Linked DNA regions of Schizosaccharomyces pombe. The protein of the gene in region 1 purifies or fractionates together with the protein of each later gene. This does not show direct contact. Each region holds a gene or a part of one and is shown on either strand. Other genes may lie near its edges.

Region 1 (4,200 bases):
CCACCAAAGCATCGGGATGATTTCTTTACCGATGAACGGACGAAAATGGTTTGAGGTCTCCTCAATTTAGTAGGTAGTGGTTGGATTGTTTTTATGAACGATCCATCTCATCACTTTCTAATGCGAGGTTGCATCCTTGACCAATTACCATCTAATTTTATGATATATAACGAGGTTACGTGATACCATCATATATATATATTTGCTCGACTTTTTTTACAAATTTTTTTCAAAAAGTGGGTGCTTATATATTCTTTGGTTCAAAATCTTTATCGATTTGAAGTAATGAAATATATTTTCCCTTATACCCTATATACTTTTTACTACCATATCTAGCAACTGTATTGTTTACATATAAGTAACGAGTAACTTAAAAACAGTACTGTAAAACAGTTAGTAGTTGTGACTTGGGTAACAAGTGTTTTCATCCACTGTTTGACATAGGAATGTTACAATGATGAAAACTCAAAACATTAGGATGGTGATAGAAACAACGGTAAAAAAGTTAGGATGTTTTGTTTATTGCCCTTGAATTCTTACTCGTTTCCTTTACCCTTATAATAATAATATTCCATATAGTTTTAGTCTTGTCAGGTTTGGTCAAAACGTGTTTTCGCTTATGAAAAGCAAAAACATTGAATGTTATTTTAAATTGGCATTATTTGTTTACTCTCAATGCCGATTGTTTACAATCTTTTCTGTCAGCTAGAATAGAAACAGGTTATGGAAAAGAAATAAAAATACTCTTAAACGATTTAAAGCGCGTAAATTTTGAAATAAGAGGGATCAAAAATTACAAGTTTGAACACGAAAGCGCCTTATGTGAATGTGAACAACTTAATTCTACCATAATAATTAACAAGTTAATAAAAGAACTAAAATAATGTTTCTACACATCTTCATAAATGTGTAATTTTTTAATATTAAATGTAAAGACAAAGCACAATGCCAGAAAAAATGAAGGACAAAAAATATTAGTCCCGATTTATATTTCTAGAATAGTACAATATCAACTCCATACCACGCCCTAATGTAAGTTATCTGTCACTTTAAACATAATATAAAAAAGAAAAACCTCCAACAATAAACATCATGTACAATGCCGTGTAAATCATATTTCCCAGCTTTCCTTTTGATAAGTTGATTTCCAAAAGCTCGGGAAATACGCCTAGGTAAGCTATATAAAGGAAACCACCAGCCGTGAAAGGAAGGAGTTTATCCTCAAGTTGTAGAAGGAAAGAACCATATGGTGAAGATGAAGATGAAGCAGTGTATATATATGTAGCGACAATTGCTCCCAATAATCCCGTCACCATAGTGATCATTTGCAACACGAGTACTTGCGATTTCGTATACCCATTTCTCAGAAGTATAGCCAAGTCACCAATTTCTGCTGGAATTTCGTGTAATAGAACAGCAAATGTGGTGGATATGCCAATGGAGGTATTGGTAAAGAAGGCGGAAGTGATCGCCAAACCGTCCATAAAATTATGAAATGAATCACATAACAAATTTAAATATACCACAGTTTTGTCGTTATACTCTTCACTAACTTCTTCAACTACATGTCTAATCAAATCAGGCTCGTGACCTTTAGAGTTCTGATCATCTTTGACATTTCGTTTCCGCAATCCTTCCACTCCTTTAACGTCAGTTTGAGTTGAAGAAGCAGAAGGTTTGTTTACACTTGAAGTCTCTTCACCGTCTTTCTTTGGCTTAGAGAGCGAAGACGGACGCTCATGTATTAAAATGCGGATTCCCTTATCCATTAGAAAGAATACTAGGGCTCCAATAAGGATTGAATAAACAGAAGATGCTGGAAAATCTCCTCCATTTGTCGAATACACAGTAGGAAGTAATTGTAGAAAAACATCGCCTAATAAACTACCTGCAGAAACTGCCACGAACAGATTTAACATACTCGTGTCGAACGACTTGGGAACAAGAAGAATAAAAATGTTAGGTGGTATTGCTGTTAAGAAAGTCGCGAGAATTCCATTCGTTCCCGAGGAGTAAGAGAACTGCTTCTCTACAAAGCTTTTAACTGAATTCAACCAAACGCAAGAATTGTTGTCTTTCTCTATAGTAAAAGCCTCTGACGATGATTCAGTATCAACAGGCAGATTATTCTTCAAAAAACTTAAGACGCTCTTCAAATCTTCGCGTGCTTTAGCAAGTTCTCCCTTACTAAGTTCAGCCAGAGTTTTTGAGGAAGAAAGCAAAGAGGGATCGTTTTCTGTCATTTCTCGGAACAACCTTTCTATAGTTGTATGATTAATTTTATTCATATTTTCCTGCGATAAAAAGGAGTCTCTATATTCCTCCGCTTCAAAATGTTTTTCTCCAAACACCGTTGTATAAAAACATGCTAGAAACAACCCATAAATGAAAAACCGTTGCAATAAAAACATTTTAAAAATAGTAGATGAAATCCCGTAAAAACCCAAATGCCAGGTTGATGTTTAAGGGGAAGGTGAATTTTGAAAATCTGTGGCCAAGGGCTATAATGCGTCAATACAGTACCAATAATAGGGTACTCCTTTGTTACTTGCCTACTCACTATTGATGTTACCTAACTTCCAAGTAATTATTTACAAAAAAGTTATTCGAATGGGAACTCGTTAATTCTTCCTTTAAAAGATGAATGCTTTATATTTACGACAAGAACTTGAAATCAATAAAAATTCGGGTGAGTAAATTTGGGTGTGTGTGCTTCTGTTATACTTCTTCCTTTCTAAATACAGGTAGATAATTGATGATGGAAAATGACTTTGGCAATTCATTTAAAAGGTTACAGCCAATGTTATAGGAATATGTTAAATTCGAGAAAAAGAAGAAACAGAAACTAATGGGGTTTATTTATCGCTTTTTCCAATCAAGTGCACCACACTTTTCGTGATTATACCAAGAGAAGGTACAGAACATGATGAAGTTATTAACGTTTAAGAGTTCTGAAAGCTCCTACTTTGCTAGTCAGAGGTTCTAAATTTTCGAATGTAATAACAAGCTTTCTTAGCGGTAATATTCTTCAAAAAGCCAATCTACCAATTTCGCTATTTTTGTTAAAAATTACTGCCGTTTTTCATGCTTGCTTATTTCAAGTGTTTCTGACTTTAGGTTTCACCTTTAAAGGACTTTAAATTGAATTAACGAGTTTTTCTATATTCGTGCATCCATTTATTTGATTCAATTCCATTTTCCACAAAAAAATCCACCTAAGGTTTTTGTCAATGAGCCTGTATGCAAAATATGTATGAACTTTTTATACCAGTGATATTCAGTAATTATTAATTATTGTTAAACCATTTTCGACCGGTCAAATACCCTATTAATTCTACGATATTTTAAGAGCTTACAAGTAAAAAAGATGAACATCCAAGACTCACTGTAAAATCGCACTGATCTACTTACTGTGATTTGATGAAAATGAATAATTTTAATTATTTCAAACCCTCCCAAAAGTGCCTCGCTCATCAATTCTAACGCCAAAATCGCTTTTTTCGTTCTCCACACCACATGAGAGAAACCTTTGAATCCAACAACTAGTTTTCTAAAATTTACTTATATGAATAATACTACTCTAATACTAAGGTTTTTAAAAACTTGTTCACCGTTCAAATGGGGTTGTTAAATATGTTTAGGTAACAATGTTGGGAAGGATGTGGTAGAAAAACATGAGATTTATTTGGCGAAACCGCGTTCATAATTCAAGAACCCAATTTTCTAGACAGTTTCATTTAACTGGTGATCTGAATCTTAGTTGTAAAAACGGAGAAATTGCTTTCTAACAAAATTTCAAAGTGAACATAGAACAGATGCTACGGATAGTTTAGCAATCTTTTCGTTTCAGTTTAGAAAATGTTGTATGAAAATATGAGCGATTCGTTTCTGCTGTCAGACGCTGGTTTGGAATTTGATGAAGCTTTGCTAGAAGTAGATCAGGAGAAAGATGATTACTTGGATGACTTTGAAAATTGGACGGTGGTACCAGTTGAGACGATTGAGGGTATAAACTATTATCCTAACTGTCTTCCCGAATCTGTCCAAAGAAATCTGATTAATAACGTTCCTAAGGAACTTCTTTCAATATATGGTTCTGGAAAGCAGTCGCATCTGTATATACCTTTTCCGGCACATATTAACTGTTTAAATGATTATATCCCTAGTGACTTTAAACAAAGGTTGTGGAAAGGACAGGAT
Region 2 (5,376 bases), on another chromosome or scaffold:
CTTTTCGAGTTTAATTGCCCCTTTCGGAGGATTCTTTGCTAGTGGTCTTAAGCGTGCTTTTAAAATTAAGGATTTTGGAGCTTCCATCCCGGGGCATGGTGGTTTAACTGACAGAATGGATTGCCAGTTTTTAAATGGAGTCTTCGTTTATATGTATTTCCAATCATTTATTGCAGAAAAGAGTACATCTGTTGCTGATTTATTGGATACAGCAGTTTATAGCCTCACGACCACTCAGCAAGTGCAACTTGTTGAAGATTTACAAAACTATCTCATCAGTCATGGCAAAACTAGTGTTCAAGCTATTTGTTCCAAACTTCTTCAAAACTCAAAATAGCTTACACTTTGTTATCCTCGTATTTGTTTACTAGCCAGTCTTTTATATTATTAAATGCGTTGTCATGTATAGTTTGACTTCCGTTTGTTAGTCATTCGTTATTGCTTGGAAGTTTTGATATCCCATGTCTAATTTTTAGTCAACTCCAAACTAGATCTAGTCGTTCGTTTGCTTTATATAATTTTCAGTTTTTCACCTTAAAAATTTTGTTTGACATTTTCCGAATTAGTTTTCATCAAAAACTTTTGTCATCAGGTTGGTTAAGTGAGCTAGCTTAATTCGCAAACGCTTAGAAAAGTTGATTATTGGACTAATCTCACGTCGGTTCTACTAAAAAACAGTTTCTTGTCTCAACACATACAGTTTTGTTTACCGCTAAAGAATTTCTTATTTTCAACATATTTGATACTTTCTTTAATATTTTAAATTATGCACAGCAATATATATTTTCATTAAATCACACTGTAGTAAATTCTGGTATATAGACCCACTGTAAAACTCTATTTTCTGAGAGTGGATAAGTACTACTGCATTTAAATAAGGAGCATCAGTAGAACAACGGCATCATAACAAAAAAAAAGATGGAAACAAAACATGCAAACCCCAATTTTTTGGGAAATTTTGTAAAAAAAAAAAGAAAAGAAAAATTGGCATCCCGCAAATACGAATTAAGTTAAATTAAGTATTATGTGCTTTTCATGATTTCCTCTTCAGCAGTTGCTTTTTCCAAATTGTATTGGGACTCATCTGCCATGCTATAACTATCATGAACTTCCTTTTCAACGTCCTTCTTCGTTAACGCATCATTACGCTTGAACTCAAGTTGATTTTGTTCATCTTCCATAGCATCATAGTGGTGGAAGCAAACCCAAAACATAATACCAGCAATAAAGGCAGTGACGGCAATACCAGTGTACATCCAAGTAAGCTTAGGATTGACAGCAGTAGAAGAAATGCAAATAGATAGAATGGCACCGAATGCATTGGTGAACAAGAACAAAGCAGTAATAATGGATTTCATTGAAGGAGGGGCCTTGGTAAATGCAAATTCTAAACCAGTAATACTGGCAAAAATTTCAGAGAAAGCAATCAAAACGTAAGCAGGGATTTGGATCCAAACACTGATGTCATTGGAAACACATGTATCAGTAAAATTTGCATAGCAAGGGCCTCTTTGATAAATCTTTGCTTGTAAAACAGCAGCGTAAATCATGGAAGCAGTAGCAAACATAAACCCTAAAGTAATACGAAGGATGGGTTTGAAAGGGATGTTATACTTACGCAATAATGGATAGATGATATTGTCACAAATGGGAATGAAAATAATCAAGGCGATTGAATCGAAGGCTTGGAAAAGATCGTTAGAGACATTACCCGTTTGCATTTGTCCAGCTTGAGAAATTAAGTTGTTGGTCATTTGACCATAGCATACCCAATAGATAGGGTAAAAGAGAAAAGTTTTGCAGGCGCGTAAGGCACGTTTCAATTCGTCGATAAACAAGTCATCCCACTGATCCTTGAGCGTAACGCGTCCAACAGTAGTAGTGCAAGATGGTTTAGTTTTTTCGAGATTAAATTTGTTTTGAGCAGCAAGGAAGAACACTTGACCAACACGAACAAAGATGGAACCGGAGGGAGGAGTGTGCTTGTAAAAGCGCTTACTAACAGCCAAAATAATTAAGGGGATAACAAAGACGCACAAGGGAAGCAAGTATGCGTAAACAAAACCTTTAGTACTTTCCAAACTAGTGGTGGCTAATACGGAGAGAGAACCGACGTTAATTGACCAGTAGAAAATCATATAGGCACGAGAGGTGGTGACGACGGGGTCAACAATGACCTTGCTACCATTTTTCTTGGTCTTTACATAAGGAGGAATTTTTGGAAGCTGTTCAGCCATCAAGGGGGAAACATTGGATTTGATACCACCGGTTCCAAGACCAATGATGATCAAAGAGACGACAAACCCACCCATACTTTTTCCGGCATCAATGACAGAAGGAATAGCAGTACATGTAAGAATCAAGATACCAATAAAGTAAATGACAGCAGAGCAAACAATGGTATTGTACCTACCAAGGAATTGATCAGCAATAAGTGCAGCGCCAACCGGGGTGACATAACACCAAAATGTGAAGAAATTAGAAAGACCGTCAGCACCGCTTTCGCCTAAATTAAGGGCACCTGGAGTAGCATCCTTAGGACCGAATTGCATATAATTTTGAAAGGGAACAGTGAGACCATAGTAAGCGAAACGTTCGCAAAGCTCGACAATAATGATAATAAAGGCTTTCCAAGGAATAGTACCGCAAACACGAGGAAGGGTGGCTAATTCTTCTTCGGTAGGAGAAGGGTATAAGTCACCATTGACGAGGACGCCGGTGGACATGGATTTTTGGAGTTCATCGGTGGAGGATTGTTCGTCAGCGGTGTTGATGGTGGCAGAACCATCAGCCTTTTTCTCCTTGCTTAAGTAGGATTGATCTTCTGAAATGATGAAATCGGAGTCCGATTTCGTAATTTGTTCTTCAATGCTACTCATTGTAAACACAGGTAAATTGAATGTAGGAAATCGATCGTATGAAAATCAAAAATAATAATAAAAAAGAGAATGAACAGAAGTTTCAAGAACAATTTTTGGGTATAAAATAATTACAATGAAACGAGAAAACAAAAGAGGCGAATATTAAAAAAAAAAAAAGAGGAAGAGAAAAATAACGTAAACAAGCGAAAGATTAAAAAACAATTGTAGTACAAAAGATAAAAAAAAGAATAGATCAAAAATAATAATAATAATAATTAGTCAAACTAATTACACAAAATTGACAAGTGAATTCACAAAAAAGTTAAAATAAACACTTTTATATGTGTATCGAAGGCCGACTAACTCAACTAAGAGTAAGAAATATGAAAGTGAGTGAGAGTGAGAAAGGGTATTTAAAACAAGATTAAATATACACAACAACAAATAAGTATTTATGACAATAATAATAAAAAAAGAAAAATTTTTAGAATGAAAAAATTTTTCCTTAATGTATTAAATAAATACTTGGAAATTAAAAGTGTATGTATGTGAAAGTGTGGAGAAAGTCACAACTCCAAACAAAAGAGGTCAAACGATTAATTATACGAACGATGAGGAGTTTCCACTCAAGGTTTTTGAATTTCTCTTACTTCTAAAACACAGACTAGACGGCACGACGAAGGATGTCTTTTGAGGGGATAATTTTCAAGTATAAATACTGCTGAAAATGAAATTTGTCCACACTGATTTAGCAGTCACCACGTGTTCATGCACGCCTTTATCAATGACGGTGAGCAAAGCACGATAGGCGATAGACAAATCGTAAATGTAGGAAACGTGGTATGAAAAAGTTTATTATCTTCCCTACAGATAAATCAAAAAAGAGGGAGGACCGGTCTAGACTGCACATTTTTAATAATTAAGGTCAATGCGTGAAAGGTGGGTTTGATGGTTGATTGGATAAATCAAATGTTATTTCGGACAAAAACGTTAGTGCGGAATATCTATTTGATTAAAAATGCACGAGGAGTAACCATATCGCACAACGTGTGACCTGTTGGAAAAAGGGGTGAAAATTGGTAAATCCGCTGGAAATAGATAAGCTTGGATTTCTTCGTGTGATGCCGTTTTTTTCATCTACTCCACTATCATGCGGAAGGATTGCGCACTTGTTCAGTTGCGTGTTTTTGCTTAACGATAGAAAAAACTCGTGTACCTCCATTTAGGACTTTTGTGCCACCACATCGCATGGTTGAAGTGGAAAGTCGTACTTGACCGAAAAAGTGGGGATGAAATTGGGTACCAAGTGGGGTGCATGGAATTAAATGGTCAAGAGCACAACGTGCAGAGCATATGGAAAAAACGAGTAGCACGTTATAGTGCCAAAAATAGAAGTTTCACTACAGGAGTGAGAATGAGAGTGAGGAGAGGTATAGAAAGAATGTGAGACAATATAGTTAGTATATGTGAAAGTGAGAGTAAAAGGTATAAGTGTTACTATATGAGTATGGATGAGGATGAGGGAAAAGGTAGAAAAGAGATGACTGTCTATGTATTGTCATACATATTGTTATTTACAAACACATCCTCTACGTTTCTTATTCTCTCACGACGACATACAGGTGAACGAAGTTTTTCAATAATTTTAGAGGTTTGAGGGTTGAGTTGTATTCATTGCTTACTTGTAGTTTGCTCATTAATAATAATTACATATTTGTTAGATTCTTAATACTTTGCATATTTATTAAATTTATGTAATCGTTTGATGAGTGTTACATTGTTGTTTTTATTTATTTATTTAACCGTTGAATTCATTCCTTCTTCTCGACATCGGCCTTTACACCACGTTCGCGTGTCTCTTCTCTCTTGTTTCCTTCCCCGGGTATTCCGCGATTAGCGCTGGCGATTCACCAAGGTAAAACTATGTATGCGAATGGTGAGTGGTCTGCTGTAGCACGGTGTGTGCACGAGGAAACAAGGTCTTCTCTTTAAGAACCTCGAACCCGGTAAACATCGTGGGTGGCAGAGATAGTAAAAGCGACTAGTTCGCCTACCCCCACATGAATTGTCGCAAAGATGATGAGGGACGACAACAAGTAGGTAAGGTAAAGTAAAGTAAGAAAGGAAGAATAGTGATAGCATTAATAGTAGTGGGTATAACTGTCACGGAAATGAACATATCACACTCCAAAACGGACTTGTTGGTGTATGAGCAATTTTTCGCACCCATTTTCCCTCATTTTGCCAAATGAAACCATAATGCTGCAAGATTGCTGAAAGTATCGGGAAAGCCTAGTAAGAAATGGTCCAACTCGTTATGCAGCGATACCCTACCCTCCGTCAAGCAAACGAGATGGTTGTGTAAGGCGAGGCACAAGACTTCAAAAAGTATGCAAATTAGCAACAGATAGTATACCCTAAATTCCAAACGATATCTTCTATCACAGAATCAGATTTCTTATAGTAAGTTCATGATAACTTTGAAGAAACTTGAGTTTGATAGCATTAGTAAATA

The links.
Region 2: the proteins of zip3 (region 1) and ptr2 purify together in Schizosaccharomyces pombe (co-purification; one study listed by BioGRID). This does not show direct contact.

The regions. Positions count from the first base shown.
Region 1 is NC_003424.3:5,316,150-5,320,349, reverse strand, and holds zip3 (ZIP zinc transporter 1), read right to left. Parts: upstream 2,476-4,200; 5' UTR 2,412-2,475; coding exon 1,050-2,411; 3' UTR 822-1,049; downstream 1-821. Other genes in the region: 2-oxoglutarate-Fe(2+) oxygenase superfamily protein Ofd2, read left to right, coding at 3,859-4,200.
Region 2 is NC_003423.3:3,404,814-3,410,189, forward strand, and holds ptr2 (PTR family peptide transporter), read right to left. Parts: upstream 3,547-5,376; 5' UTR 2,880-3,546; coding exon 1,023-2,879; 3' UTR 762-1,022; downstream 1-761. Other genes in the region: bbl1 (phosphatidate cytidylyltransferase), read left to right, coding at 1-337. UniProt on the Schizosaccharomyces pombe protein: Uptake of small peptides.